Anolis sagrei: one gene and its partners. The protein of the gene in region 3 interacts with the protein of the main gene of each other region in a biochemical or structural test. Links are inferred from orthologs where the notes say so. Each region holds a gene or a part of one and is shown on either strand. Other genes may lie near its edges. The genes, in order: BCL10, PRKCQ and caspase recruitment domain-containing protein 11-like.

What was found.
Region 1: the proteins of caspase recruitment domain-containing protein 11-like (region 3) and BCL10 form a complex in vitro, tested with the Homo sapiens proteins (2 studies listed by BioGRID, with this or other methods). The link is inferred for Anolis sagrei from reciprocal best matches to the Homo sapiens genes CARD11 and BCL10.
Region 2: of the proteins of caspase recruitment domain-containing protein 11-like (region 3) and PRKCQ, one has a biochemical effect on the other in vitro, tested with the Homo sapiens proteins (2 studies listed by BioGRID). The link is inferred for Anolis sagrei from reciprocal best matches to the Homo sapiens genes CARD11 and PRKCQ.

Annotation. Positions count from the first base shown.
Region 1 is NC_090024.1:154,599,201-154,610,395, reverse strand, and holds the start of BCL10 (B-cell lymphoma/leukemia 10), read right to left. Parts: upstream 4,776-11,195; 5' UTR 4,617-4,775; coding exon 4,545-4,616; intron 1-4,544. UniProt on the Homo sapiens protein: Plays a key role in both adaptive and innate immune signaling by bridging CARD domain-containing proteins to immune activation.
Region 2 is NC_090025.1:189,797,023-189,807,944, forward strand, and holds the start of PRKCQ (protein kinase C theta type), read left to right. Parts: upstream 1-6,637; 5' UTR 6,638-6,858; coding exon 6,859-7,075; intron 7,076-10,922. UniProt on the Homo sapiens protein: Calcium-independent, phospholipid- and diacylglycerol (DAG)-dependent serine/threonine-protein kinase that mediates non-redundant functions in T-cell receptor (TCR) signaling, including T-cells activation, proliferation, differentiation and survival, by mediating activation of multiple transcription factors such as NF-kappa-B, JUN, NFATC1 and NFATC2.
Region 3 is NC_090034.1:7,869,125-7,879,796, reverse strand, and holds the start of caspase recruitment domain-containing protein 11-like, read right to left. Parts: upstream 5,249-10,672; 5' UTR 5,168-5,248; intron 1-5,167. UniProt on the Homo sapiens protein: Adapter protein that plays a key role in adaptive immune response by transducing the activation of NF-kappa-B downstream of T-cell receptor (TCR) and B-cell receptor (BCR) engagement.

The DNA of each region.
Region 1 (11,195 bases), on a different chromosome or scaffold from region 3:
TTCATCATAATCCTCGATAAAGGTTATGGCTTGCTAGTGATTACGTGTCCTTAGTATTTGCTTGACATGCTCACTATTGTCTCATTGGCAAATAAACAACTTGTTCAAGCAAGTTTAGAGTGAGGCTACAGGTATGCAACATATCTTTGGTATTGCCAGGAACCCAATGACCTTCAGTGCTAAAAATTCAAAGTACCTGCTCCAAAGTCAGGAAACATAGCAATGTAAACTTGACGTGTATACCAAGGGAATCTAAACAAGCCAATTTAAATATGGCAGAGTTTGAACCATACAAAATCATTTTCAGTCACTAGGTGGCAAACACTACTAACCAGTGCCTAGCTTTGTCATCAATAAAACTTGAATCCAGGAGACATTTTTATTAAGTGGGCTAAATTCTAGTTATGAGGAACTCCCTGGGTCTCTAAGGGTGAATCATGCCATTTACAAGCCAGGGGATCCCGTCAGTACAAGCTTTTCTCAGATGAACTGAAAACATGTGCATTAATAACTGTAAATCTTGGTTTGAAGCCTTTCATGTATCGAAATAAAATAATTTCTAACCCATGTGAAGTTGGGCAAAAAAAAGGCCCCACAAATTAATTGACTTTCTTCAATTACCATTCAAAATGAGTTCTAGTCATTTTAAGATTTGATAAACCAGAAGAATTCAATAAAAAATCTATTGGATTACAACAGCCAAAGGATCAAGAATTACAGCCATACACTATCAATCTTAAGGAACAGAAATGTCTTGTGATTTTTCTACAACTTTTCCAAGTCTGTCTGATGAGCTTCTCTTTGGAAAATATTTTATAAGTGCAGCATCACAGCAAAATGGATTTTCAATGAAGTCACTGTTACCTTATGTGTTGAAGGAAAAATTGCACAGAACAAGCCTTCACTAGAAGAATGCAAGGAGGTATTCTCCAGAAGGAGACCCAGCACGGTGTAGAGAGAGGTTTCAGCACTGGACTATGGCTCTGGATACTAGGGTTCAAATTCTCTCTCTGTTATGGAAACCCATAGGTTGACCATTGACAAGTCACATTCTCTTAGCCCAGTGGTTCTCAACCTGTGGATCCCCAGATGTTTTGGCCTTCAACTTCCAGAAATCATAACAGCTGGTAAACTGGCTGGGATTTCTGGGAGTTATAAACCAAAACATTTGAGGACCCACAGGTTGAGAACCACTGTCTTAGGCTAATAGAGTAAACCTCCCCTGAACAAATCTTGCAACAAAAAAACACCACATAGTAAGTTCACCTTAAGGTTGACATATGTCAGAAACAACTTGAAGGTGCACAACAGTTCTCCAAACAGTACACTGAACTTGAGTAAACAAATCACTTTGAAATAATTTTAAGCTCTTCCCTTCACATAAAACTATAATATTCCAAAATGAAGTTGTTGTATATATGTATCTATAAACACACACAGAGTGTATACACTCTCTCTCTCACTATATACACGCACACATATACATATACATATACGTGATGCAATTGATATGTGGTTGTGTTCCTGTGTGGAGAGCTGCTTTGGATGCATCTGTGTGGAAAAGCATCACACAAATTAATTGCAATAATTATAGAAAAAAGCCTGTGTTTGTGTGCAAAGCTACACTGCTCAATCGCTCCAAGATCGTGAAACTTACACATTTAAAATGGATTAAAGTTAAACTAATTTGGTTGTTTTGCTATCTGTGCCCCTGTTCAGAAGATTTCATTTCACTTTCTGCCCCTGTGATCATTGGATTTTGAAAAAAAAATGGCTTTGTGTGGAAACAAGGATTGGTGAGAAAGCTGCAGTGGAGACCCCTTCTCCCCATAATTTTTCATGAGTGAATTTCCCTTCCTATGAGCAGATTTCTCTCACTTTCTGTTGTCTCACCCTTGTTCTTAAGTCGGATGTTGGTAATTTGAGGTCTGCCTGTACTTATATTGGCTTTTAAGTGATAATAAGACCACTCCGTTTACTGAGCCATAAAGAGATAGTCTGAATATCATCACATCATTGAATGTAGGAAATTTCTCAGAAAAGTTGTAGCATTAACTTTATTACCCTTCAACCATTGGAGTTTAGAACAGGAAAAAACAAACCTGGACAAAGTGCAAGAAGGAAAGAGTTACCTCCGTTGACTCATGCGTGTATCAAGATCGGCTACAAAAGAGGGGAATTCCTCTAAACACTCCAGGAGAGACTCCTACATAAAAAATTTGCAAACTGGGGCAGAACGCATGCCATTTGATTGACCTTCCTTCCTCTTTTCGTGCTGTTCTACATCACTAGCAAACCTCACGCCAAGGATTTTCCTTGATTCTGAATGAAGGTTTCCCTTCCTTGTCTGTGATTTCCAGAGGCTATTGCTGCTAGGTGTGGTGACTGTGGCCTCATCTACAATGCCATATAATCCAGTTTCTGCATCCAGATTATCTGATTTGAACTGAATCATATGGCAGTGTAGATTCTGGGCCCTTCCACACAGCCCTATACCACAAAATATTAAGGCGGAAAATCCCACAATATCTGCTTTGAAATGGATTATCTGAGTCCACACTCAGATAATGTGGAATTTCCTGCCTCGATATTCTGAGATATAGGGCTGTGTGGAAGGGCTCTTAGCTTGTGTTCACTGTTAAGGGAGCTAAGTGTAGGCAGCAATCCAGACATGGCTTTTGAGTTTTACTACCACTTGGTTTACCAAATAGCAACCTCATTCTCCAAATGACTATGTTGCTCTCCAACTCTAGAGACTAACTGTTGTCAATGCTAGTGGCTAAAATGAAAATTCAATGCTATTTTGCTGAAAACCATCAGTGAAGTGGCCAATGGGTGAGGTTTCCTGCTCACAGTCCCCTCCCTCCACCCATTATGTTCACTTCCAGTACAGTGAGCTCTTTTTATCTGCTGCAGTTTGAGGACTCAAGCCCACTATATATAACATGTATAATAAAATGGTGTCCCTTATATAGATTGACAACATCTATATGAAAGTCCCTAATTTGTGGTGGAGGTTCCTTCTTTGGAGGCTTTTAAGCAGAGGCTGGTGGGATTTGTGACATACAAATGCTTGTATGTCACTGTTGATTGTTTATTGTCTATTTTTTATGTATTTATATGAATTGTATTGTATTGTTTTATTGATGTATTGTGGACTTGGCCTCATGTAAGCCGCACTGAGTCCCTTGGGGAGATGGTAGCGGGGTACAAATAAAGTTATTATTATTATTATTATTATTATTATTATTTGTCAGGGGTGCTTTGAATGCGATTTTCCTTCTTGGCAGGAGGTTGGACTGGATGGCCCATGAGGTCTATTCCAACTCTATGATTTATTTTAATTGCTTTGTATTGTGGTTGTTTTGCTTGTATTGATGTATGGTGGGCTCGGCCTCATGTAAGCCGCACTGAGTCCCTTGGGGAGATGGTAGCGGGGTACAAATAAAGTTGTTTATTATTATTATTCTATGATATAGATTGACAAATACTTTTGAACTGTGGGAGATGTAATTAATGGGTGCAGAATATGTGGATACAAAAGTCCAATTGTAGAAGCCTGCTTATATATATATTTATTTACATACTCTATTTTTGTCCCACCTTTCTCTCAATACAGGGTCTCCAGGCGACTAACAACAAATATTTAAATACATTTGAAACTACATGCTGTCTGTATTGTTTGAGTCCCCTTCTACGCTGACATATAAAATCCAGATGATTCGCTCTGAACTGGATTATATGGCAGCGTAGACTCAGATAATCCAGAGCAAAGCAAATTTTGTGGATTACCTGCTTTGGTAATGTTTACTATATGGCAGTGTGAGAAGGGGCATCCTATAATCCAGTTCAAAGTAGAGAATGTGGATTATATGATAGTGGAAAAGGGGGCTGAGTCTACACTGCGATATAATTGAGTTTAAATCTCGATTTCATATGGCAGTGTTGAAGGGGCCAATGCCTTGTCACCTAGCCCCCTTCTACACTGCCATATTTATTTATTTATTTATTTATTTGCTGCATTTGTTAACCGCCGCTCTCAGCCCTAGGGCGACTCGCGGCGGCGTACAACATATAAAAACACATTTCACAATAAACTACAACTACAAAAAACAACATATCCCTAATACATTATCATCTAATTACACTAAATTAATCCGCTATTAAATTAATATATATTAATTAAATATATTAAATTAATATAAAATCCATATTGTCTGCGTTGAACCGGATTATATGTCAGTGTGGATTCATATAATCCAGTTCAAAGCAGATAATGTGGACTACATGGCAGTGGAGAAGGGCGCCGAGTCCACACTGCAATATAATCCGGTTTAAAGCAGATAATCCGGATTTTATATGACAGTGTAGAAGGGGCCAATGCCTTGTCACCAAGCCTTCTTCGCTGCCATATAAAATCCAGGTGATCTGCGTTGAACGGCCTTATATGACAGTGGAGGTTCCTATAACCCCGTTCAAAGCAGATAATCCGGACTGTATGGCAGTGTAGCTGCAGTCCTAGTTTCCCTCGTTTGCCCACTTACTTCCTTCTTCACCTCCGCCATCTCGTCGTCGGTGAGAGGCCTCTCCGGCAGCGCCCCCGCGGAGCCCGCCATGGCGGAGAACGCCCAGCGCGCCTTCGAGGGCCAAGCCAGCCGGGAAAGGCCAGGACCGGAAGCAGCCAGGGAGCCTGAGAGGAGAGCACCCAAGGCCGGGCCGAAGCCGGACTCTCCCGGAGTGCCACCAGGACTTCCGGCGCCGTGCCTCGCGAGGCCACACCTCCTGTGCTTCCGCGCCACGCCCCCTCCCGGCAACAGCGGCGCCCAACCTTGGTTCCGCCAGGTTTTTGACTTCAACTCCCAGAAGCCTCAGTGAGCGCGACTGAGTGCCGGGAATTCTGGGAGCTGAAGTCCAAAGCTCATGGGGCTCTACTCCTAAGGAAGAGATGCTCGCTTGCCCTGGCCAGGTTGCACCCAAATAACCCTAAACATTGATTTGAAATATGTATTTATCTCGAGATCTTTTCAGCAGAGATAACTCGGTGAGAATGGAGACTTAGGGCCCTTCTACACACCCAGATAACCTAGAATATGAAGGCCCTTCCACACATCTGAATAAAATCTCACAATATCTGCTTTGAACTGGGTTACCTGAGGCCCCTTCCACGCAGCTGTATAAAATCCACATTGAACTGGATTATATGGCTGTGTGGACTCAGATAATCCAGTTCAAAGCAGATAGTGTGGATTATTTGCCTTGATATTCTGGGTTATATGGCTGTGTGGAAGGGCCCTGGGTCCCCACTGCCATATATTCCACTTGAAAGCAGACAGTGTGGGATTTTATTCAGCTGTGTGGAAGGGCCCTAATTCTGGAGTGAGTTGATTCCTCATTCAAACTATTTATATATCCCTAGGCTTAAAAGCTAGAGAACAGAACAAATTGTAACTTTTTCACTTAGACCCCTTCTACACTGCCATGTAATCCAAATTATCAAAGATTATATGAGGGCTCTTCCACACAGCCATATAACCCAGAATATCAAGGCAGACACTCCACAATATCTGCTTTGAACTGGGTTATCTGGGTCCACACTGCCATATAATCCAATTCAAAGCAGATAATGTGGGATTTATGCAGCTGTGTGGAAGGGGCCTGAGTCTACACTGCCTTATAATCCAATTCAAAGCAAGCATTCTGGATGATATGGCAGTGTAGAAGGGGCCTTACTATTATTTTCCTAACCTAAATACCCAAAAGGCATGAACATGTTTCTGATTATATTATGTCATTCGATTTTGATTCCTGGGTTACAAATGTCATTTCCTAATTGGTTTTATCATTAAAAACACGAGAAAAGTTTGTTAAACTGCTAAAAATCTGTTTTTGCAAGACATCCTACAGCACATTTTGCTATAGTTTTTCAATGAATAGCTCATAGAGTCAACATAATTTGTGGCAGCCACAAAAACGAAGTTTCTGGAGTATAACAACTATTTTCAAAGAAAAGATCAAATAATTAAACAGGAAATAACACTTTCAAATCAAGAACAGATTTTTTTTTCAAATTTTGTTACATCATGCAATGGAAGCTAAGCAAGATTAGCTCTGGTTTGTTCTTGGATGGGAGGCTGCCAACAAAAGAACAGATACGTAAGCTATAATTCAGAGGGAGGAACTGCACAAACCACCTCTAAGGGCCCTTCCACCCAGCCCTATATCCCAGAATATCAAGGCAGGAAATCCCACATTATCTGTGGACTCAGATAACCCAGTTCAAAGCAGACATTGTGGGATTTTCTGCCTTGATGTCCTGGGATATATAGGGTTGTGTGGAAGGGCCCTAGAAAGGTCACTAATGACTTTTCTCAGATCAAACAAGACCATGTGTCTTTTCAGTAATATGAAGTGAGTTCAATATTTTTTTAAATTATATCTCATGATTTTTGCATCTGCTTTGTTCTTGTCCTTGTAGATGGCATGTTTTAACCTTATCCTTTTACCTCGACAGCCTCCTAAGGAGTTCAAAGCCTGGACTACCAGTGTCGTGCCTCACCCTGAGAGTTATAGCGTCAGAGAAACCAAGCCGCCTCCGGAGCTGGATATGGCGATCAAATGGTCCAATATATATGAAGATAATGGTGACAAGGCTCCCAGAAACGCAAACAAGGTCAACTTCTTACCTGAAGATGAAGAGGAGGAACCTAAGGCCACCTATAAGAAAGGAGAAGGACAGTAATGATTTGGTTTGGCTTCCAGTATATTGTGGGATTTTCTGCCTTGATATTCTGGGATATAGAGCTGTGTGAAAGGGCCCTGAGCCTTTCTTGCCTAAGAAAATCCTATGTAGTTCAAGAGATCACCATAAGTCAACAGGGAACCTGACACGCTATTAGTTCGGTGAGCTGGAAATCTTGGAAACATCCAGCTTTTAAAAGAAATATTCCTGGGAAAATTCCAAAAAACTGGTATGATTAAATTCTTGTGATTCATCCTATGTCCCAGGGCCATTTATCTTCCTCTTCCTTCTTGAATGAGAAGGGGGAAGCACAGATGGTCCTTTACAGCACTTAAGATGTTTAGATTACATTTCTTTTCAAAAAGCTTTGAGCATGCCCACGCAGATCTCACAGCATCCAGAGCCAACAGTGATCAAAGACACAGAAGAGATCTGAATGATCAGTGGCTGTAATTGTCTATACAGGGACATGGGATCTGAATTAGCATTGCTCAAACTACCGATCATGTCATACAACTTCCTTCATACAGGGACTGGAATCTCCAAGTGGATGATGCAAAGCAGGCACATCAAGTGAAATGAAACAGTAATAAGCAACTCTCTTTTTGTTCACTTCTTTGTAGTAGTCCTCAAGTAATTTAGTCCTCTATAATATTAGGACCTTGAAGTGACTGGCTTGACCTTGAAGGAGCTGGGGGTGGTGATGACCGACAGGGAGCTCTGGCATGGGCTGGTCCATGAGGTCACGAAGAGTCGGAAGCAACTGAACGAATGAACAACAAAAAATATGATGACCTTGGAAAAGCACCTTTTACTTTTGGAATGCAATTATGCTGAAGATTCATCACTTAGGAAAGCAAGAGACCCAACATTTATTGTAAGGAAATTATTTTCTGATTATAGAAAACGAAGTTCCAAATTAAGATGGTGATCCAGGGAGCAGGGCTTAGCCTCACCCTCTCAAGAACAAAGTCACAATGGCTTTTCTCGAAGAAGTGCAAAAAAAGGAGGAAGAGACACCAGGACTCTCAAGATTTCTCAGGCCCTGTCTATACTGCCATACAATGCAGTTTGAAACTGCATTATATGGCCAGTGTAGACTTACTGTGCATATTGCAGTTCGATGTGGTTCAAACTCCATTTTATGATTCTGACCAGTTTCTGGCTAAATTATAATCAGAGTGTAGATGGGGCTTCAATCTACAGGTGAATCTACGCTATAGAATTAATGCATTTTGACTTCACTTTAACTGCCATGGTTCAATGCTATAGAATCCTGGGAATTGTAGTTTGGTGAGGCACAAGCACTCCTTGGCAGAGAAAGCTAAAGACCTTGTAACACCAGAATTCCAGGGTTTCATAGCATTGAGTCATGGCAGTTAAAGTGATGTCAAGCTGTCAGGATTTAGTGGAAAGCCAATGTGACAGCATATACAGATAGCTAATTTCTAGATCAGGATGACAAGGCAAGTGTGAGGTAATGGCAATGTGCCAGGGATGATGCGATACCATAAGTGACTAGCTGGGTCTTGTATAAAAATAGAATAGCAAACATGTTAGGTTGTTGTAGGTTTTTTCGGGCTATATGGCCATGTTCTAAAGGCATTCTCTCCTGACGTTTCGCCTGTATCTATGGCAAGCATCCTCAGAGGTAGTCACCCCTCAACTCCTACCTCTGAGGATGCTTGCCATAGATGCAGGCGAAACATCAGGAGAGAATGCCTCTAGAACATGGCCATATAGCTCGAAAAAACCTACAACAACCCAGTGATTCTGGCCATGAAAGCCTTCAACAATACAGCTAACATGTTGTTTGGTTGGTTTGTGTTGTTGGTGCATTGGCGTCGTTGCTGATAGTTGATGAACATTTGAGAGATCTGCGTTGGAGAACTTGCTGAGAGTAAGGTCCCTTCTACACTGCCATCTAATCCAGATTATCAAATCAGATAATCCAAATTACCTGCTTTGAACTTGATTATATGAGTCTACACTGTTAAGGCAGATAATCTGGATTTTATATGGCAGTGCTGATGAAGCCTTAGAGACTCAGCTTGCTTTCCTCGCTTAGAGAAAGAGGAGAATAATCCCAACACAAATTACATTATTTGTACAATGTAGAAGCACTTTAGATCTGGAAGGAAGATCAGTCTGAGTTGCAGTACATGATGGACAGTCGTGGAAACCTGAGGTCTACTTATTTACTTCCCCCACCAGGCAGGCACATGTATCTCAAGTTGCATTTCCAAAATAAAGCAAAACTGTTGTCATTTTTTTCTATCATTTCTGAGGAACAGGTTTGAATGTTTGCTGTGCCTTTGTATTGCCAGACATACTGGATTCAAAAGACGTAAACACAGTGTATCACCGGCGATTTCAGGAGACCTTCTTCCCTTCTGCTGCCTTTTGTGCTGCCCCAAACTAGATCTGGGAGGGAAAAAAGGATTGAGACCTATCTTATCCAATTTTGGCGGTTTACAGAGGACTATATTTAGGAGCCAGGATTACATTCACCTTATCCTATTCTATTTTGTCATTCCAGCAATGAAAGTCCATTGCAGAATTGTACCTGCCAGTTTGAAATTCATCTTCTACAAGAAAGAGAGAGAAATGCCACATCCATTTCTGAGCAGTAGAAGCATAATCACCCCAATCTGAAATTGTTTAGAGAGGCTATTGCAATGATTTCATTTCAAGAGAGCAGACAGTGGGAATATCACGCGTTTTGTGATACCAGGGAACCGTAAAAAGCCCTTTCTCAGTAGCACTTTTCTTTTCTGCTGTGCAGGAAAACAGATACAGAGAGGTGGCAGATCCTATTTCTGAAGACAATGAGTTTCTTGTGAGAAAATATCTGAAGATATTTGGAAAGTGAAAAAAAATTGGTGCACTGAAAAAGTTCTGTTATAGAGACAAGGAGCAAATACTTCATTTTCATTTTTAGTCATAGAATCATAGAGTTGGAAGAGACCTCATGGGCCATCCAGTCCAACCCCCTGCTAAGAAGCAGGAAAATTGCATTCAAAGCACCCGACAGATGGCTATCCAACCTCTGTTTAAAATCTTCCAAAGAAGGAGCCTCTACCACACTCTGGGGCAGAGAGTTCCACTGTTGAACAGCTCTCACTGTCAGGAAGTTATTCCTAATGTTCAGATGGAATCTCCTTTCTTGTAGTTTGAAGCCATTGTTCCGCGTCCTAGTCTCCAGGGCAGCAGAAAACAAGCTTGCTCCCTCCTCCCTATGACTTCCCCCCAGCCTTCTCTTCTTCAGGCTAAACATGTCCAGCTCTTTAAGCTGCTCCTCATAGGGCTTGTTCTCCAGACCCTTGATCATTTTAGTCACTCTCCTCTGGACATTCCAGTTTGTCAATATCTCTCTTCAACTGTGGTGCCCAGAATTTCAAACCCAGCTTTACTTTATAGACGTTGTGTAGGTGCAGTATGGTCTCATCCTTCTGCATTTATAAGCACAGGATAATGACAATATTCTTTCTACAAGCTAGGGGATAGTATTGATTTTCCATGTCCAAAGGAAAAACAAACTTTCATATTCTATGACACCAGCTATTCTAGATTAAAATAATACAGGGGCCGAGCTTAGCACAGCAGGCTAAACTGCTTTGCGGCAGAAAAATCCTGCCGATCAGAAGGTCAGCAGTTCAAGCCCGGGTGGGGTGAGCACCCACTGTTAGCCCCAGCTCACCTCTCCACCTAGCAGGTCGAAAGCAGAAATGCGAGTAGATAAAATAGGTACCGATTTTGGCGAGGAGGTAATAAAGGGCACCCCTAAAAGGACAAGGGGTCCCTAGTGGTTCAGCTAGTTAAACCACTGAGCTGCTGAATTTGGTAACTGAAAGGTTGGTGGTTCAAATCCGTGGAGAGAGGTGAGCTCCCGCTGTTAGCCCCAGCTTCTGCCAACCTAACAGTTTGAAAACATGCAAGTGTGAATAGATCAATAGATACTGTTTCTGCAGGAAAGTAACAGCGCTCCATTCAGTCATGCCGGCCACATAACCTTGGAGGAAAACACCGACTCTTCAGCTTAGAAATAGAGATGAGCACCAACCCCCAGAGTCAGGCACCGTTACCTTTACCTAAAAAGACATCGATCAGAGGAAAGTTCCTCGACATGGAAGATGACGCGACAGCATCCCCTGTGGCCAGAGTTGAGCACAGCCTCCAAGATGCCAGAAATAAGATGGGAAAAACTGCCTTTAGCTCTGTTTGTGTTATCTGTCCTTGTTAATTGTATAATCAGTATTGAATGTTTGCCGTATGTGTATTCTGTTAAGCCTCTCTGAGTCCCCTTTGGGGTGAGAAGGGCGGGGTATAAATATTGTAAACAAACAAGCAAACAAATCTGACTCCCTGTTTTCACAGTGAGATGTCTATAGATATGAGAGGAAGGAAGGTTGAGTGAAGGAGGATAGACGCTTTTGAACTGTGGTGTTGGAGGAAA
Region 2 (10,922 bases), on a different chromosome or scaffold from region 3:
TCGTGGACCATCCAGTCCAATCCCATTCTGCCAAGAAGCAGGAAAGGCACATTCAAAGCATCCCCAACTGATGGCCATCCAGCCTCTGCTTAAAAGCCTCCAAAGAAGCAGCCTCCACCACACTCCAGGGCAGAGAGTTCCACTGCTGAACAGCTCTCACAGTTAGGAAATTCTTCCTAATGTTCAGGTGGAATCTCCTTTCCTGTAGTTTGAAGCCATGTCATAAAAAAGGTTCTCCATCTGCATTCAGTAGAGCAAATATCTGTTGGTTCCATTTTTAAAAGGGGCAGGAATACATTAGATTGATGTTTTCCCTGGTAAGTTGGCCTAACTTCTGAGACCGTAGGCCATTTTAGAGATTTTTTAAAATTATGGTGTGCATATTACCGCGTATTGCATTGACTGTTTTGCAACAACCTCTCTGACTTGAAGGGAAACAATTTCCAATTTCTTTGTTTAGCCAAAGTTTTCCCATAATATGTTGGGCCATTAGGCAAAGCAGAAATTCCACCGCAGGCAGGCAGTTTTTAGAGCTGTAAAAAGGAAAATAAATTGTTAATTATTAAACTTTTTTTTTAATTGGCAGGGAGAGGTCTTTGTGGTTGTTTTGGCCTCAGGTGCCCAAATTGCTCAGACAGCTTTGGGTTCAACACACCTTAAACTGAGAAGGCAGGCAAGCATTTTCTATTTCACCTCTTTTTCATGCCTCAGTCCCACCTTGGGTTACAGGAATAGTGAAATTCCACCAATTTCTCAGGTTTGTTTAATGATTTTTGAACTTTATCTCCAAAGGCTGTAGTTTAAGGAGGATATAAGTTGAACATCTCTTATCAAAAAAGCTTGGGACTGGAAGTGTTCCATATTTCAGATTTTATTAGTATTTTGTTCATATGTAAAGCAATATCTGGAATTCCAAAATTGTCCACATGGATGGTTGAGATTCTGACACCTTTGATTTCTGATGATTCAATGTACACAAACTATTTCGTGCACAAAGTTATTTAAAATGTTGTGCATAAAATTGCTTTGGTCTATATGTATAAGATGTATATGACACATAAATGAAATTGGAGTTTAGATCTGGGTTCTGCTTCAAAATCCCCCAAAAATCCAAACTCCAAAACACTTCTGTCCCCAAGCATTTTGGATAAGGTATACTCAACCGGAATTTATTTTGGTCTCTCTCTTTCCAGAAAATATTCAGAGGATGCTCATAACTGGAAGCTCTAAACTGTATCTTACTTTTACTTGCACATAATATAACAATGCTTAAGGGCATTACAAAAAATAGTGAGTTGGAGTTACAAGAAGGGAAGTTTTCAACTGAACTTTTGGAGAAGCTTCCTAATAAGAGGCTTGTTCATTGTGCCCATTATACTAAGGGATGACAGGATCTCCTTCATCAAAGTTCTTCTCAAAGAGAAGAGATCTTCTTTCGTCAGGTTTGAATCTTCATAAGCAAACAATACATCCTTATTGTATTGTTGAAGGTTTTCATGGCTAGAATCACTGGGTTGTTGTAGATTTTTCGGGCTGTATGGGCATGTTCTAGAAGCATTCTCTCCTGATGTTTCGCCTACATCTATGGCAGGCATTCTCAGAGGTTGTAAGGTATATTGGAAACTAAACAGACAACTAAATCTTGTCTGTTGGAGGCAAGTGTTAGTGTTGTAATTAATCACCTTGATTAGCATTTATTTATTTATTTACATCGTTTTTATCCTGCCCATTTCAGCCCAAAGGCGACTCAGGGAGGCATACAGAACCGACACACACACACACACACACATATATACATACATCTCTCAATTAAAAGCAATTAAATTATATCATAAATACATATAAAAATCATAGAAGCAATCTAATGGCCTTGCAGTTCAAGGCCTGGCTGCTTCCTGCCTGGGAGAATCCTTTGTTGGGAGTTGTTAGCTGGCCTTGATTGTTTCAAGTCTGGAATTCCCTTGTTTTCAGAGTCTTACTCTTTATTTACTGTCCTGATTTTGGAGGTTTTTTTAAAAAAAACGGTAGCCAGATTTTGTTCATTTTCATGGTTTCCTCCTTTCTGTTGAAATTGTCTACATGTTTGTGGATTTCAGTGGCTTCTCTGTGTATTCTGGCATAATGAAACTGCTTTAATTATGCAGTGCAGATGCATCCTAGGTGTTACTCTCATTGGAGTCGATGCAGAGATGTGCATCACACTGCACTGTTTTAATAATAATAATAATAATAATAATAATAATAATAATAATAATAAGTTTAGGACAGGAGTACCCCCAAACTATTCCAGTTTAGGACAGGAGTACCCCCAAACTATTCCAAACCATTCAATTTCCCTAGGATTCAATGTGGCTTTTCCATTTAGCATTCTGCTCTTGGTTTATTGCATCATTTCTTGGAGATGGGTTTCCACCTTGTATAGTTGGGACCATGACAAAGAAGCCAGATCGCCATTCTATCACAGTTCCCTTCGCCCTTCATATTTCACAAACAAAAACGGTATCAAACATTCACGCTCTGGTTTTGGCATTTCTTCTTGTTTCATTGAAACAGTTCGATTTCCTGAAACATCACACACAGGCGGGCGAGCTTCCTGCCCCAACCACAGGCGTATTTGTACTCACTCCAATGTTGTGTTCACAACTATCGGCACAGGCAGATGCGCTGGTGGGTTGAAGAGGAAGAGGTGCCTCTCATCCCCAAAGTCCAACCATCCCACATCAACATGAACATAATGGCAAAAGTTATTAATGAGGAAGAGCAAACTAGCTAGGAGATGTTGAAGTGGCTTGCTTTTGCCTGAGCCTACTGGGAAGGGTGGGCTTAATTTTAGTACATTTGGTTATTTCACAGATTTGATTAATATGGTCTCTGAGGGAATCTCTCGGTCTTCCTGTGCAATTCTTTATTGAACGCCTGCTGGAAGTTTCAAGCTACATTATATGACAGTGTAGATCCAGCACCAAAAAACCCAAGGAAAGTGAGATCCTAAAGCTCAAGAAAACAAGGTGGGTTTTTAAAATAGGATTTAGGGAGGGTTGTTGTAGGTTTTTTGAGCTATATGGCCATGTTCCAGAAACATTATCTCCTGATGTTTTGCCTGCATCTATGGCAGGCATCCTCAGAGATTGTGAGGTCTGTTGGGAACTAGGAAAATTGGGTTTATATATCTGTGGAATAATATCCAGGGTGGGAGAAAGAACTCTTGTCCATTGGAGTTAGGTGTGAATGTTTCAATTGGCCACTTGATTAACATTTGATGGCCGGACAGTTTTTAGGTGTAGCTTGTTCGTGCCTAGGAGAATCCTTTGTTGAGAGGTGATTAGCTGTCCCTGATTGTTTCTTGTCTGGAGTTCCCTTGTGTTTGAGTGTTGTTCTTTATTTGCTTTTATAATTTTAGGAAGGGTTTTCTTAAAGGATTTAGGGAAACGTCTCCTGATGTTTCACCTGCATCTATGGCAGGCATCCTCGGACCTCACAACCTCTGAAGATGCCTGCCATAGATGCAGGCAAAACGTCGGGAGAGAATGCTTCTGGAACATAGCCATACAGCCCAGAAAACTCACAGCAAACGAGAGAAGAAAGTGTTTGAGCCCAGTTGCATCCAAAATTCAGCAGACTGGAGTCTTGATCAAGAGAGGAAAAGTTATTATTATTATTATTATTATTATTATTATTATTATTATTATTATAATAAACACAACAAGATGAATCCACAGCAGGCAATATCACTCTGCTGACTGTTGTATTGGATCACACGTCGGACACTTCCCAAGTGTCTAGTACTGTGTGATGTATCAGTGAATAATGCGTGCAGATCCCAGTAAGGTGGCCTTCTGCAGCTGGCAGATGGTAATTTTGTCAGTGCCGATTGTGTTTAAGTGCAGGCCAAGGTCTTTAAGCTCTGTACCCAGTGTGCTATCACCACTGGGACCACCTTTATTGGCTTGTTTCAAAGTCTTTGAAGTTCGATCTTTGAATCCTCATATCATGTCAGCTTTTCCAATTATTATTATTATTATTATTATAGCATCACCATCATCATTATTATTGAGCTTAAGACAGATTTGGATTCTTAAATAGATATAGTAATATAATATACACAAAGGAGGGTAATTTGCAATGGCTTCTTTCCTCACATATAAAGGAAGGCTATAGAAATACTACACATTACAATCACTAGAGGCTGGATCTACACTGCCATATCATTCAGTTGGAACATCTCAGTGGTGGATCCATCTAATGCAGTGATATGAATCCAACCTAACCATATAATATATATTTCCAGCCAGAGATCATCCCTGGGGCGGGGAAGGTCTGAGTGTATTATTTACATCTCCTTGGAGTGTATTTACAATGCGTAATGAAGGCAGTTTGACACCGCGACCTCTGAGGATGCCTGCCATAGATGCAGGCGAAACGTCACGAGGGAATGCTTCTGGAACATGGCCATACAGCCCGGAAAACTTACAGCAACCCAGATTTAGGGAGGGTTTTTTGGTCCACGTCCCCATAATCCCCAACTCTGCATGGTTGGGGAATTCTGGTTTTTGTTAGTAGTCCCAAAAGAGAACTTCCTCCACATTCTGTTCTGTTTTCACAAGGAAGCAGCCCATGAAAGAGGCTTCAGTTTCACTTTGCACGCCTACAACAAGTGGAGAAGCCTGAGCCGTGATCTGTCTTGTATTTTTAAGAGAGGGTTTCTGTAAGTGAAACCTAGCCAATGAGTCACAGGCCATTTCAGGAGAGTTGAAGCGAGCAGCACCAAATGCTAATGGGGCAATGTGAGAATCCTCCTCCTGTGCAACCGGACACTTTCCATCCTAGCAGAGGCTGTTTTGTAATTAGAGGACAAACAGTTTGCTTTCTGGATGGATGGCACTTGCAGGTGGAAAGCGCTGGCAGGAGTAGCCTTTAAGTTCTGGAAAAAGAGGTGACGTGGAAATGTTAGTAGCCTGTCTGGCATAAGATGCATTTACATCAGGCATGGGCAAACTTTGGCCCTCCAAGTGTTTTGGACTTCAACTCCTGCAATTCCTAACTCCACCAATGATGGAATTGAACCAAACTTGGCATACAGAACTGCCATGACCAACAGAAAATACTGGAAGATTTTGGTGGGCATTGACCTTGAATTTGGGAGTTGTAGTTCACCTACATCCAGAGAGCATGGTGGACCAAACTTGGCACAAATCCTCAATGTGCTGTCACACACTGGGCCTGTGCATTAGACTGTAGACAGGACATAAATTCTGTGTGCCCAACGGGACGCCGGGGCTGCCTCAGATTAAAGGACCTTAGATTCCCCCAAAACAAAGTTCTGTAGAGGCTTAAAGTAAATCCAACAAAGTTCTTTATTGATGAAAACAAACAGGTACTTTAAAGCATTCTTAACAGTCTATTGGCTCTGCAATCTTGGCTGTATAACTCCAGTCAGGCTGTAGGCTGTATATCTCCCCGGATAAGCCGTAGAAGATGAAGCTTTCCACAGGAGTTCTTCGTTTTATGTCCTGTGCGAAAGCTTCTCTGTGAGAACTGACTCAAAAGGGCTCCTATTCCCTCCAAAAACCCAAAATGGGGTGGGACCAGGGAACCTAACTATAATAGACAGGTGGCAGCCTATAACAGGAAGCCACCCTGCTGCAAAATCCCAAGGCTGGGATTGCAAACAAACATTTAATGCAAAGCAAACAGAATTGGAGCTCCTGGTAGAGCTGTACCAGCACACTCAATATGCTCAAATGTGAATACTGGTGGAGCTTGAGGAAAACAGACATTGACATTTGGGAATTGTAGTTGCTGGGATTTATAGTTCACCTTCAATCAAAGAGCATTCTGAACCCCACCAACAAGAGAATTGAACCCCCATAACCAACAGAAAATACTGTGTTTTCTAATGGTCTTTGATGACCCTTCTGACACCCTCTCCCGATCACCCCAGGGGTCCCGACCCCCAGGTTGAGAAACACTGCTCTAGATGGAGAATATATTTTGGTTCATTAGGGGGACTTGAGTCTCACTCAGCCTGCTTAGGTCCTGCCCTGGGAGAAAGGCATCCTATAAATCCAATAAATAAATGATGAAAGAACTCATGTCCAAAATAAATAAGTGAAAAGTTGGTCATGCTGCTTTAAAAGTGTTTCATTTCTGATCTTGCTGCTCTCATTCATTTCGTAGTTGGTTGCAGAAAAACGTTGCGAGTGCTTAAAGTGCTGTAGCGTTCTGCTCTTTTCTGTTGCACCAACCTGACCTGCCTCTGTATAAATCATTTTGGTGCCTCTGCAAAGGATTCAAAGGCTGGCCATTCTTTTGTTACTGTGCCATCTTATTTTCTGCTACAGAGGGGCGATTTCCCAAAGGCTCTGTCAGCTTCATTTCCCTCCTGTATATAAATAGCGCATTTAACACTTGACAGCATCATGTTGAACCGTGCAGTCTACCAAGCAGTCACTTTGCAGTGTCATTTGGCAAAAGGCATGGGATCTGTCTGTTTCCCTGGCGATGGCCAGCGGCAACTTGTGACTTTGCATTAACCCTTGCAAGGGTCAATGAGCACATACTCTCCTTTTTTTTCTCTTCAGCATCCAATATGTAATTTTGAACTTTTTTGTAGAGCTATTTCTGCACAGGATTTTTTTTTTTTTTTTTTTTTTGCATGGACAAAATCAATCGGCTGTTATTCCTGGCCATTGCCTGGTGACCAACATTGGAGCCTCCGGCAATGCAGCTGAGCAGACAACGGATCGAGCGGCGGTCTTGTGCTATGCCTGGTTGCGTGGCAAACTTTTGCTAACTCAGCCAACTGGGGATCAGAGAAAGGGAAATGCTGTTGGGATGGATAAGGGGCATTTGGATTAAATGCCTCGGCTTGGCATGAGCGATAAAGTCAGCAAGGCAAAGGCGGCTTTGAAAATCTATCCCATCCATGTCTGCTTTCTGGCCCATGCAGTGCCCACCATGTCGCCCTTTCTCCGGATCGGCCTCTCCAACTTTGACAGCGGTCCCTACCTGCCTTCCCAAGGAGATGTGGTTGATCCATACTGCGCCGTGATGGTCAAAGAAGCCACAGAGGGTGGTAAGCATGTGTGGTTATATTCAGGCAAGGCTGGGTGTTGTGTGGGCTCTTCCATCAGATGTAACCCAATGTATGCATCCAAAGTTATTGTCGATAACTATTATAAGTTGATTTCCATTTATTGTGGCCCTCTGAATGAAGGATTTTAATGCAACCTTATTTTTTCATGTCAGAAGCAACTTGAGAAACTGCAAGTTGCTTCTGGTGTGAGAGAATCGGCCATCTGCAAGGACGTTGCCCAGGGGACGCCTAGATGATTGATGTTTTACCTGTCATGATGCCAAGGCTCTGCCTGTACCCAGGTAGAGATTAATCAAACAAACATCCAGTTTGTATCAAACAGTTTAATTAAAACAGCACTTACTTTCTGGCTGGTTTAATAGTCCAAAATATAAAACATAAAGATAGAACTCAGCCACAGAATATAAAACAAAAACTGATAGCAAATGCTAAACCGTAGTCAATTGGTCCAGTCCAGTGGTCAAATGCCGAGAGTTCAATGAGCAAAGTCCAGGGATCAAGAATCTATACCATAGTCCAAAGCCAGTCAAGAGATTCAAAGTTCTAGGGTTCCAAGAGTTCAGGAGACAGGTCAGAATACTAAAAATCCAAAGACCTGGGGGCAAACCAGCAGCATCTACCACCAAAATAAGACAAACAGCTCCTTAAATACAGTAACACCCAGCTGCAACCTATGCCTTGCATGCCTCCACTCTTAATTGCTTTTACCTGTAAAGTGTTACTTACAAATTACTCAGCCCTTAAGAACTAAGATTTACATTAATCCTATCACCAACTGCAAGGTCGGCCACCACCAACCACCATCAACTGCGGGACATGATAACATGACATTACCATCCTGTGGGAGGCTTCTCTCATGACCCCGTATGGGTAGCTGGAGCTGACAAAGGGAGCTTACCCCACTTACCACCAACCTGTCGGTCAAATAGTCCTGCCAACATAGGGGTTTAACCCATTGTCCCACCGGGGGCTTCATACGCAAGCCTATGAATGAGAGTAACTCCATTCTCGACGGCCTTGCTCAGATCATACAAACTCAGGGAGGTAGCTTCCCTGATTGAAAACTCTATTGTATAGAGCAGGGGTCCTCAAACGAAGACCCGGAGGCCAAATATGGCCCTCCAAGGTCGTTTACCCGGTCCTCGCTCAGGGTCAACCTAAGTCTGAAACCACTTGAAAGCACACAACAACAACAACAACAACAACAACAACAACAATACTATCTCATCAGCCAAAAGCTGGTTCACACTTCCCATTGAAATACTAATTTCAATGGGAAATTCTTCATTTAAATTATGGAATTGTTTTTAAGTGTTTTTTGCACTAGAAATAAGATATGTGCAATATGTATAGCAATTCATTCTTCTTCTTTTTTTTCAAATTATAATCCGGCCCTCCAACAGTTTGAGGGACTGTGACCTGGCCCTTTGTTTAAAAAGTTTGGCGACCCCTATGCAAACTGGCATAGAAGCAGGACGGTCATTTTTGGTGGCTGTCCCTTTGGTACAATACTATGAGATATCCACTGCTGGTCCATCACCTGCCTGCAACAAAGCCCTTTCCAGCTATTAATGAGCAAAACTCATCAATAGCTTATTTATTTATTGTGTCATCCGCAACTAGACATTTGTATTACATTTTTAACAAAAACAAACAAACAAATAGACAAAACACAGAATTTGCAAGCTTGGTAGTTGATTAAATGTCCTTTGACCAGTATCTGGCCACTTGGAGTGCCTCTGGTGTTGCCGCAGGAAGGTCCTCCATTGTGCATGTAGCAGGGCTCAGGTTGCATGGCAGCAGGTGGTCAGTGGTTTGCTCTTCTCCACACTCGCATGTTGTGGATTCCACTTTGTAGACCCATTTCTTAAGGTTGGCTCTGCATCTTGCGGTGCCAGAGCACAGTCTGTTCAGCGCCTTCCAAGTCGCCCAGTTTTCTGTGTGCCCAGGGGGGAGTCTCTCATTTGGTATCAGCCATTGATTGAGGTTCTGGGTTTGAGCCTGCCACTTTTGGACTCTCGCTTGCTGGGGTGTTCCAGCGAGTGTCTCTGTAGATCTTAGAAAACTATTTCTTGATTTAAGTCATTGACGTGCTGGCTGATACCCAAACAGGGGATGAGCTGGAGATGTCACTGCCATGGTCCTTTCACTATTGGCTGCTACTTCCCGGCGGATATCAGGTGGTGCGATACCGGCTAGACAGTGTAATTTCTCCAGTGGTGTAGGGCGCAGACACCCCATGATAATGTGGCATGTCTCATTAAGAGCCACATGCACTGTTTTAGCGTGGTGAGATGTGTTCCACACTGGGTATGCATACTCAGCAGCAGAGTAGCATAGCACAAGGGCAGATGTCTTCACTGTGCCTGGTTGTGATCCCCAGGTTGTGCCAGGCAGCTTTCGTATGATATTTTTTCTAGCACCCACTTTTTGCTTGATGTTCAGGCAGTGCTTCTTGCAGGTAAAAGCACGGTCCAGAGTGACTCCCAGGTATTTGGTGTGCAGTAATAATCAATAATCTGAGGATTGTGCTATGTTATCACAACCTGCCTGGCATTTCTATGGTGGCATACCAGTGACATCAGGAGGCAGGATTGTCCTCTTCTCGCACTCTCAGTTCACAATTAAAGGAAGGATTTTTCTTTTCTTGTTAAATTTTTTTACTTTACGGAATTGGAAAGTGTCTCAGAAAGCCTTTCCATTTAGCACTCTGGTCTTGTGGTATGCCACAAGAAAAGTGACATACCAGTAATGCAGTTATTACTCTCACCCGGCCACTGGAACTCACACCGCTGGCACACTCCATTACACTATGCTAACGGTGGTACGAAAATGATGGTACCAATGCTAGGAAGTTAAACATGAGCCAACAATGTGATGTGGCGGCAAAAAAAGCCAATGGGATTTTGGCCTGCATCAATAGGAGCATAGTGTCTAGATCTAGGGAAGTAACGCTACCCCTCTATTCCGCTTTGGTTAGACCACACCTGGAATATTGTGTCCAATTCTGGGCACCACAATTCAAGACAGATATTGACAAGCTGGAATGTGTCCAGAGGAGGGCGACTAAAATGATCAAGGGTCTGGAGAACAAGCCCTATGAGGAGTGGCTTAAGGAGCTGGGCATGTTTAGCCTGAAGAAGAGAAGGCTGAGAGGGGATATGATAGCCAGTATAAATATGTGAGAGGAAGCCACAGGGAGGAGGGAGCAAGCTTGTTTTTTGCTTCCCTGGAGACTAGGACGCGGAACAATGGCTTCGAACTACAAGAAAGGAGATTCCATCTGAACATGAGGAAGAACTTCCTGACTGTGAGAGCCGTTCAGCAGTGGAACTCTCTGCCCCGGAGTGTGGTGGAGGCTCCTTCTTTGGAAGCTTTTAAACAGAGGCTGGATGGCCATCTGTCAGGGGTGATTTGAATGCAATATTCCTGCTTCTTGGCAGAATGGGGTTGGACTGGATGGCCCATGAGTTCTCTTCCAACTCTTTGATTCTATGATTCTATGATTGTAAGTTGCCGCTAATCCTAATCATGTGAATGGTGTGTGATATTTTGAGTCTTGTTTTCTGGAATGCCATCTCCCTCTTTTCCAGTAACCACCTGGGGACGCCCTGCTCTCGCTTCCACCTTATTCTCAAGCACGGGTGGTAGAGACGAGAGATAGGGCCTTCTCAGTGGTGGCCCCTCAGCTGTGTAAACCCCTCCCTAGCAATATCAGGGCAGCTCCCACCCTCCTAGTGTTCAGAAGGAGAGTCAAAACTTGGCTCTGGGAGGAGGCTTTTAAAAAATAGAGCAATGCATAAAGGTTAATATGAAAAATGTGCAA
Region 3 (10,672 bases):
ATTTACATGGTGAATTTTCAGTGTTCAAAGCACTCTGCCTTGCGATCCATATGACACCCTTGTAAAGCAAGCTGGGTAGGCAATGGAGTTTATCTATGTGCTGACTTGTCACTCAATATTTGATTCAATACTCTAGCTAGCATTATTTGGTAGGAACATAGCGATACACACACATCCATCCACCCCTCTCTCTGTGGCTGCTATCGATTGCTTTCTGCTCAAATCAAAACGTAGTAATTGGACAGCAGATGGATCACAACTCCCATGCATTCTTGTAAACTGTAAATACATTGGAAACACTGGTGAGGAAAAACATGAATTTAATTTCCAACAAGAAAAACCTTTTTTCATAGAATCATAGAATCAAAGAGTTGGAAGAGACCTCATGGGCCATCCAGTCCAACCCCCTGCCAAGAAGCAGGAATATTGCATTCAAATCACCCCTGACAGATGGACATCCAGCCTCTGCTTAAAAGCTTCCAAAGAAGGAGCCTCCACCACATTCCGGGGCAGAGAGTTCCACTGCTGAACGGCTCTCACAGTCAGGAAGTTCTTCCTAATGTTCAGATGGAATCTCCTCTCTTGTAGTTTGAAGCCATTGTTCCGCGTCCTAGTCTCCAAGGAAGCAGAAAACAAGCTTGCTCCCTCCTCCCTGTGGCTTCCTCTCACATATTTATACATGGCTATCATGTCTCCTCTCAGCCTTCTCTTCTTCAGGCTAAACATGCCCAGTTCCCTAAGCCGTTCCTCATAGGGCTTGTTCTCCAGACCCTTGATCATTTTAGTCGCCCTCCTCTGGACACATTCCAGCTTGTCAATATCTCTTGTGAGTTTGGTAGTTGGCTAAATGTCCTTTGACCAGTATCTGGCCACTTGGAGTGCTTCCGGTGTTGCTGCAAGAAGGTCCTCCATGGTGCATGTGGCAGGGCTCAGGTTGCATTGCAACAGGTGGTCAGTGGTTTGCTCTTCTCCGCACTCGCATGCTGAGGATTCCACTTTGTAGCCCCATTTCTGAAGGTTGGCTCTGCATCTCGTGGTGCCAGAGCGCAGTCTGTTCAGTGCCTTCCAAGTCGCCCAGTCTTCTGTGTGCCCAGGAGGGAGCCTCTCATTGGGTATCAGCCATTGGTTGAGGTGCTGGGTTTGGGCCTGCCACTTTTGGACTCTCGCTTGCTGAGGTGTTCCAGCGAGTGTCTCTGTAGATCTTAGAAAACTATGTCTAGATTTAAGTCGTTGGCGTGCTGGCTGATACCCAAACAGGGGATGAGCTGGAGATGTCTCTGCCTTGGTCCTTTCACTATTGGCTGCTACTTCCCAGCGGATGTCAGGTGGTGCAATACTGGCTAAGCAGTGTAATTTCTCCAGTGGTGTAGGGCGCAGACACTCCGTGATAATGCGGCATGTCTCATTAAGAGCCACATCCACTGTTTTAGTGTGGTGAGATGTGTTCCACACTGGGCATGCAGACTCAGCAGCAGAGTAGCACAGCGCAAGGGCAGATGTCTTCACTGTGTCTGGTTGTGACCCCCAGGTTGTGCCAGTCAGCTTTCGTATGATATTGTTTCTAGCACCCACTTTTTGCTTGATGTTCAGGCAGTGCTTCTTGTAGGTCAGTGCACGGTCCAGAGTGACTCCGAGGTATTTGGGTGCGCTGCAATGCTCCAGTGGGATTCCTTCCCAGGTAATAATCCTCAGAGCTTGGGATGCTTCTCTGTTCTTGAGATGAAAGGCACATGTCTGTGTTTTAGATGGGTTGGGGATCAGCTGGTTTTCCCTGTAATAGGCAGTAAGAGCACCTAGAGCTTCGGAAAGCTTCTGTTCTACCAACTCAAAGCTCCATGCTTGAGCAGTAATGGGTTTGAGTGATGCTGTGGTTGATGTTCCCAGACAATGTTATGGGCAGGACTCTGGTGGTACTTACTTACTTAGGCGATCCCTCGTTGCCCGAGTAGGATAATCCTCCAGGGTAGGTGATTATGGAGCCCTAATCTTGACCTGCATGTTTTCCCGCAGTTTTCCTACCAGCTGTTAGGAATTGTGGGAGTTGGAATCCAAAACACCTGGAGGGCTGAAGTTTGCTCATGCCTGGTCTACACTGGGCATGGACTTCATCCCATGGGTTTAGGGCTAAGTTTCCATGCGCTTTGGAAACAGAATCCCACAGAGGCCATCACATGACGTAAGGGCACTTCTGATGGGACTCTGTGGAGCTCTGTTTCCAAAACACATGGAAACAGACCCCTAAATCCATCTTCAGGAGTGACCAGCCACTGCCAGAAGGGACAGAGAGTTTCATCTATGCTGATGATCGTGCCATTACCGCTCAAGCAGGGAGCTTTGAGATGGTAGAACAGAAGCTCTCCGAACCTCTAGGTCAGTGGTTCTCAACCTTCCTAATGCCACGACCCCTTAATACAGTTTCTTATGTTGTGGTGACCCCCAACCATAACATTATTTTTGTTGCTACTTCATAATTGTAGTTTCGCTACTGTTATGAATCGTAATGTAAATATCTGATATGCAGGATGGATTTTCATTCACCGGACCAAATTTGGCACAAATACCCGATACGCCCAAATTTGAATACTGGTGGGGTTGGGGGAGACTGATGTTATCATTTGGGAGTTGTAGTTGCTAGGATTTATAGTTTGCATACAATCAAAGAGCATTCTGAACACCAAGGAAGGAATTGAATCAGACCTGGCCATAAAGAACTCCCAAGACCAACAGAAAATGCTAGAACGGCTTGGTGGGCATTGACCTTGAGTTTTGGAGTTGTAGTTCACCTACATCCAGAGAGCACTGTGGACTCAAACAATGATGGATCTGGACCAAACTTGGCACAAATATCCAAAATGCCCGAATGTGAACTCTGATGGAGTTTGGGGAAAATAGACCTTCACATTTGGGAGTTGTAGTTGTTGGGATTTATAGTTCACCTAAAATCAAAGATCATTCTGAACTCCACCAATGATAGAATTGGGTCAAACTTCCCACACAAAACCCCCATGACCAACAGAAAATATTGTATATTCTGACGGTCTTTGGGGTCCCCTCTGATACCCCCTCGTGACCCCCCCCGGGTCCCGACCCCCAGGTTGAGAAACACTGCTCTAGGTGCTCTTACTGCCTATTACAGGGAAAACCAGCTGATCCCTAATCCATCTAAAACACAGACATGTGCCTTTCATCTCAAGAACAGAGAAGCATCCCGAGCTCTGAGGATGATCACCTGGGAAGGAATCCCACTGGAGCATTGCAGCACACCCAAATACCTGGGAGTCACTCTGGACCATGCTCTGACCTACAAGAAGCACTGCCTGAACATCAAGCAAAAAGTGGGCGCTAGAAACAATATCATATGAAAGCTGACTGGCACAACCTGGGGATCACAACCAGACATACTGAAGCGCTATGCTACTCTGCTGCTGAGTACGCATTCCCAGTGTGGAACACATCTCACCACACTAAAACAGTGGATGTGGCTCTTAATGAGACATGCCACATTATCACGGAGTGTCTGCGCCCTACACCACTGGAGAAATTACACTGCTTCGCCGGTATTGCACCACCTGACATCCGCCGGGAAGTAGCAGCCAATAGTGAAAGGACCAAGGCAGAGGCATCTCCAGCTCATCCCTTGTTTGGGTATCAGCCAGCATGTCAACGACTTAAATCTAGAAATAGTTTTCTAAGATCTACAGAGACACTCGCTGGAACACCTCAGCAAGTGAGAGTCCAAAAGTGGCAGGCTCAAACCCAGAACCTCAACCAATGGCTGATACCAAATGAGAGACTCCCCCCTGGGCACACAGAAGACTGGGCGACTTGGAAGGCGCTGAACAGACTGCGCTCTGGCACCACGAGATGCAGAGCCAACCTCAAGAAATGGGGCTACAAAGTGGAATCCACGACATGCGAGTGCGAAGAAGAGCAAACCACTGACCACCTGCTGCAATGCGCCCTGAGCCCTGCCACATGCACAATGGAGGACCTCCTTGCACAACACCAGAAGCACTCCAAGTGGCCAGCTACTGGTCAAAGGACATTTAATCAACTACCAAACTCACAAATTTTGTATTTTGCCTGTTTGTTTGCTTTGTTCTGTTAGAAATGTAATATAATTGACTGGTTGCCCTGACACGACAAATAAATAAAAGGAGTTGGTGTTATCTCACTCATAGAATCATAGAATCAAAGAGTTGGAAGAGACCTCATGGGCCATCCAGTCCAACCCCATTCTGCCAAGAAGCAGGAATATTGCATTCAAATCACCCCTGACAGATGGCCATCCAGCCTCTGTTTAAAAGCTTCCAAAGAAGGAGCCTCCACCACACTCCGGGGCAGAGAGTTCCACTGCTGAATGGCTCTCACAGTCAGGAAGTTCTTCCTCATGTTCAGATGGAATCTCCTCTCTTGTAGTTCTCCATACAGGAGAAAGCAACAGAAAGCGGGGGAAAGACGGACCTTGATGTGGAAAGGATGTGGGATGGCTAATCATTCCAGAAGATGGGGAAAGTTGGGAGGAAACGGGGTAAGATAGTTCCCTCTGCTTTCCCAGCACTGGTGGGATGAGGTCACATATAGTGCAGTTCAAAATATATTATATGACAGTGGAGATTCAGTCTGAGTTGCTTTAATCTCTCAGTTCCTCAAAGTATTGGACTTTGGCTTTCATCTGCTGTAGTAGTATAACCAATATGGAAGAGTGCTGGAAGCTGAAGCCCAAAAATGAGCAAAGGGCACAGTTCTTTGGACCAAGAAGACACCCCACCCCATGAAGCTGAGGTTCTGCACAGTTTCCAGCTCCACCAAGAGTAGCATTGAGGGAAGTTAGGACTGCAGTTGCTCTCCTAAAAAAGTATTTGAATGAGGGACTTTCTGTCTTTCTGTTCAAACCAAGGCAAGCTACTGCAGAATCTTCAAGAGAGAGACAGAAAGAGAGAGAAGAACAGACCTCACTATCTCTGAGGATGCTTGCCATAGATGCAGGCGAAACGTCAGGAGAAATGCCTCTAGAACATGGCCCTATAGCCTGAAAAAACCTTCAAGAACCTAGAGAGAAGAACGTTATAAGAAAACGAGAAACGGGTGAGTGACGGGAGCTGGGACAGCTGAACTCCCTTTCTGACGTTCCTGAAATTCATAAAGAATGAACTTATGGGCCTACCTCAGAACCTCTTGAGAAGCAGAGACGCTTATCTGTGGTCTGTGGCAATGCAAGGAGAAGAAGACTCTGATTTTGATGTTCTTCAAGCCAGCACCTGACACAGCAGCGCGGTGGATTTCCTCATTTTCTTTGCTTTCGTTTGCACCCCTTCAAAACACAGCTCCCGCAAACATGTGTCCGGAAGCACCCACTCACTCAACGCTGCCCTTTTTCAACCTCAAGCCTATATTTAGCAGGAAAGAGGCCTCCACGGCCTGCTTCACTTCCCTTTCGCTTTTCGGCTCAGCGGCTGAGAGTGGCTTTCTGTAAGGCTCTTCACCATGGCGGACAACCAAAACAGAAGCTTTCTCCAGGAGATGGAAAGTCAGCTCGCTTCCTAGAATGGATGAAGAGAAAGGAAAACAACCATCAGAGATGAAGAGGAAGTCCTATCTGTGTCATGAATGACTTTTCAATGACTTTAAAGCAGTGGTTCTCAACCTTCCTAATCCCGTGACCCCTTAATACAGTCCCTCATGTTGTGGTGACCCCCAACCATAACATTGTTTTTGTTGCTACTTCATAACACTCATTTAACTATTTTTATAAATCATAATGTAAATATCAGATATGCAAGATGTATTTTCATTCACTGGACCAAACTGGGCACAAATACCCAATGCACCCACGTGTAAATGCTAGTGGAGTTGAGGGAGGATTGATTTTGTAATTTGGGAGTTGTAGTGTCTGGGATTTATAGTTCACCTATAATCAAAGAGTATTCTGAACTCCACCAGCAATGGATTTGAACCTAATTTGCCACACAGAACTCCCATGACCAACGGAAAACACTTGAAGGGTTTGGTGGGCATTGACCTTGAGTTTGGGAGTTGTAGTTCACCTATATCCAGAGAGCACTGTGGACTCACGCAATGGTGGATCTGGGCCAAACTTGGCACAAATACTCAATATGCGCAAATGTTAACACTGGTGGAACCTGGGGAAAATAGACATAGAACACTAGTGGACTTTGGGAGAAATAGACCTTGACTTTTGGGAGTTGTAGTTGCTGGGATTTATAGTTCACTACAATCAAAGAATGTTCTGAACTTCACCAACGATAGAATAGGCTCAAACTTCCAACATGGAATCCCTATGACCCATCAGAAAATACTGTGTTTTCTGATGGTCTTTGGCGACCCCTCTGACACCCCTTCGCGACCCCCTCAGGGGTCCCGACCCCCAGGTTGAGAAACACTGCTTTAAAGCATTGGTTCTTTTTATTGCCATTTCCAGTGTGAGAGGATACATCAGATTACAGAAAAACTTCTAGATAAAGTATGACATTGAACATACAGACATACAGATTCTATGCAACTACATTGGATTTACAATTACAAACAAACAAAGGAGAATTACATTTTCACTCAACATTCACACACATGTACATGCATTCATCCTCATGCACCCAAACATTTGCCCTCCTGGGAGAAGCACCTGTTGGTCCAGACCCTGCTTTCCTGAGCCTGTCAATGCACAGTTCCATAACGGCAAAACTTCAAATTGCCGAAATGCCAAAACTTCTTTCCCTAAGAACAATGCCAAGGACCAGATCTCTGTTTTCCATACAACAGAACCTGACTCCCCGCACAAAATCCAAGACTCCAAAAGTGCACTTCTTCCTCTTCCCTTGAGAAAGAAGGCCAAAGTGACCAGACTGCTCCCTTGCAAACCTGCCACTCTCCAAATACACCATCTTTCTCCTTCCCATGGACCAGAGAGGCGGGTGGAACAGACTCCTCAGGTCTGCCACACTTTGAACATTATTAGACTGAGTCTTTTACAGGAATATTCTGTTGATGTAATCCCAAACTTGTTAATTAATGATATACTTCTTCCATCCTGGCTCCATCTCAGTTTCCTGGCCAGATGTTGATCTTCTTGATTGGTGTTAACAAACACAAGGCTTGTGTTGACTTCCTTCTTAACATAAGGAATGTTGCAAACATTTCCTTAACTTGAAAGAACCGTTGTCACAGTCTTTATCAGAGTTTACTTTGAAGTTCTCATTAGCAACTTTTAATTACAGTCCAGGTCAGCAGGTATAGTCACTGCAGGCCTTAATATTATGCTGGTGTTTCCAAAATTATTAGCTCCATCCATACATTCATCTTCCATTCTTCCATTCATTCCCACACATCATATTACATTCACATTATCAATTCTGCACAGTGAATTTATTACATCTGTTTCAAAAGCCAGAGCTTGGAAAAGGTCCTTTATTTGAGGGAGAAAATCACTATCACCCAGAATGTTACTTTTTGGACTTTGGTTCCCAGGATGTCCCAGCCAGCATGGCCACTGAGGCTCTGGGAGTTGTAGCCCTAACAGGCATTGGCACCAACCATCACATAACATACATATTCCACATTATAGATGGGAAAAGCTATTACACTGTGCAATACAATTTTTATTACTGGGTTGTAGATGTCAATTCTTAATTGATTCTATCATTACATCATGACAATTGCATCTCTGTATGCAAACTGGCCCACGCCGTGCGATCCATGGAGTAGGCCCTACTCTCATTCCCACCCCCATCTCAAGCACAGCTGGTGGGAACGAGAGACGGGGCCTTCTCCATGATTGCTCCCTGCCTCTGGAACTCCCTCCCAAAAGAATTTAAAACTGCTCCCCCTCTCTTTGCTTTCAAAAAACTGCTGAAAACCCACCTATGTATTGTGACGTATGGAGAGGGGGAAGACTAAAATACCCAACTTATATTCTTGCCTAGAAATGTTAAACCTTGTTTAGAGACTAGAACTCACCTCAGCCTGCTGGTCGTTACATAACATGTCATCTTTTATAATGGTTTTAGCCTTGGAAAATGTGTGTGGTGTGCACACTCAGAAAGTGTGTGTGTGTGTCTGCAACCAAGCACCTCCTCTGGAGTAAACTTGCCTCCTTGCCTTGGAAAATGTGTGTGGTGTGCAGGCCCAGAAAGTGTGTGTGTGTGTCTGCAACCGAGTGACTCCTCTGGAGTACACTTGCCTCCTTGCCTTGGAAAGTGTGTGTGGTGTGCAGGCCCAGAAAGTGTGTGTGTGTGTCTGCAACCGAGTGACTCCTCTGGAGTACACTTGCCTCCTTGCCTTGGAAAGTGTGTGTGGTGTGCAGGCCCAGAAAGTGTGTGTGTGTGTGTGTCTGTAACCGAGCGCCTCCTCTGAAGTAAACTTGCCTCCTTACCTTGGAAAATGTGTGTGGTGTGCAGGCCCAGAAGGTGTGTGTATGCATGTCTGCAACTGAGCGCCTCCTCTGGAGTAAACTTGCCTCCTTGCCTTGGAAAATGTGTGTGGTGTGCAGGTCCAGAAAGTGTGTGTGTGCATGTCTGCAACCGAGTGCCTCCTCTGGAGTAAACTTGCCTCCTTGCCTTGGAAAATGTGTGTGGTGTGCAGGTCCAGAAAGTGTGTGTGTGTGTGTCTGCAACCGAGCGCCTCCTCTGGAGTAAACTTGCCTCCTTGCCTTGGAAAATGTGTGTGGTGTGCAGGTCCAGAAAGTGTGAGTGTGTGTGTCTGCAACCGAGCGCCTCCTCTGGAGTAAACTTGCCCCCTTGCCTTGGAAAATGTGTGTGGTGTGCTGGCACAGAAAGTGTGTGTGTCTGTCTGCAACCGAGTGACTCTTCTGGAGTAAACTTGCCCCCTTGCCTTGGAAAATGTGTGTGGTGTGCAGGCCCAGATAGTGTGTGTGTGTCTGTCTGCAACCGAGTGACTCTTCTAGAGTAAACTTGCCTCCTTGCCTTGGAAAGTGTGTGTGGCATGCAGGCCCAGAAAGTATGGAGGTGCCTGCAGCCGAGCACCTCCGCTAGAGTAAGAAACAAGTAAGAAGCCTCAAAGCAAACGCCTACCGGCATCTAAGTGCCTTTCCTCTCCTCTAGAGTAGAGCTTAAATGCCTAATATGACAGGAAAGGGAGCCTGGGAAGCCCCCTTCCCCATTATGGGAAGCTCCCCCCCCCCCCATAATGTGCTGATATAAAACAGATCTTTTGGACCCCAGAGTGAAAACAGATATCTGCCCACCCAATTTCTAGAGCAGTGGTTCTCAACCTTCCTAATGCCATTACCCCTTAATACGCTTCTCATGTTATGGTGACCCCAACCATAAAATTAGTTTTGTTGCTACTTCATAACTGTCATTTTGCTGTTGTTATGAATAGTAATGCAAATATCTGATATACAGGATTTATTTTCATATACTGGACCAAATTTGGCACATATACCCAATACACCCAGATTTGGATACTGGTGGGATTGGGGAAGGGTATTGATTTTGTCCTGTGGGAGTTGTAGTTGCTGGGATTTATAGTTCACCTACAATCAAAGAGCATTCTGAACTCCTCCAACGATGGAATTGAATCAAACTTGGCACACAGAACTCCCATAACCAACAGAAAATACTGCAAGGGTTTGGTGAGCACTGACCTTGAGTTTTGGGAGTTGTAGTTCATCTACATCCAGAGAGCACTGTGGACTCAAACAATGATAGATCTGGACCAAACTTGGCACGAATTCTCAATATGCCCAAATGTAAACACTGGTGGAGTTTGGGGAAAATAGACCTTGACCTTTGGGAGTTGTAGAAAATACTGTGTTTTCTGGTGGTCTTTGGTGACCCCTCTGACACCCTCTCCCGACCCCTCCAAGGGTCCCAACCCCCAGGTTGAGAAACACTGTTCTAGAGGCTCCCAAAAAATGGATCAGAACCTCCACTGAAAGCCAGGATACAAAACAGGTCAAGGTTTACCCTGAATACACAACCCTAATTACTATTATTGTACAGATGTGGAAGTTCACCTGGTTTTTCTTCCTTATTCAACCACCCTCTCTATTTTGCCTTGCAGAGATGTTTTGCATGAATTCCTGTTAATGCCAGATGCTAGAGAATTAGAAGATCATGGTCACACAGAGCTTTAGTTTCAATCAATCCTGTTTATTTGGCAAACAAATGCAGGTTATAGCCCCAAAGGCAAAAAGGGAAAAGCAGTCAGAGCCAAACAGATCAAGCACGCTCAATCCACGGAATCGGAGAAAAATCCTTCCGTCAACAATTGCACCGCAAGCATCTGCCTAAGTTGAGCAGTTCTTACCACAAATCTCGCCGTATTAAACCTGGCCCATGTAACCATACCAGGCAGCAAATATCTCACTTCATCCTTCCTGCTCTGGGTGGGTGACTCCCAATTCTGAGCGGCTTTGCTTCAGGTATTTTCCCTTACTGCAGACAATGTAACGGACAATCTAGCAGATTATGTATCGTATCCAAATAAAATACATTATACCGCCCCATTTTGAAGTTGTCGGAAGGAGAAAAGGCCCATGCAGGGCAATGGGAAATTATTTGCACATATCGGTGCCCATAAAAACTGTGTTAATGGCTTCGAAACTCATACACATAAAACTAACAAGGCTCTGAATGATGTGCATATATAGGGTCATAGGGTCATGCGCATACTGGGAAGCTGTATATGTTTA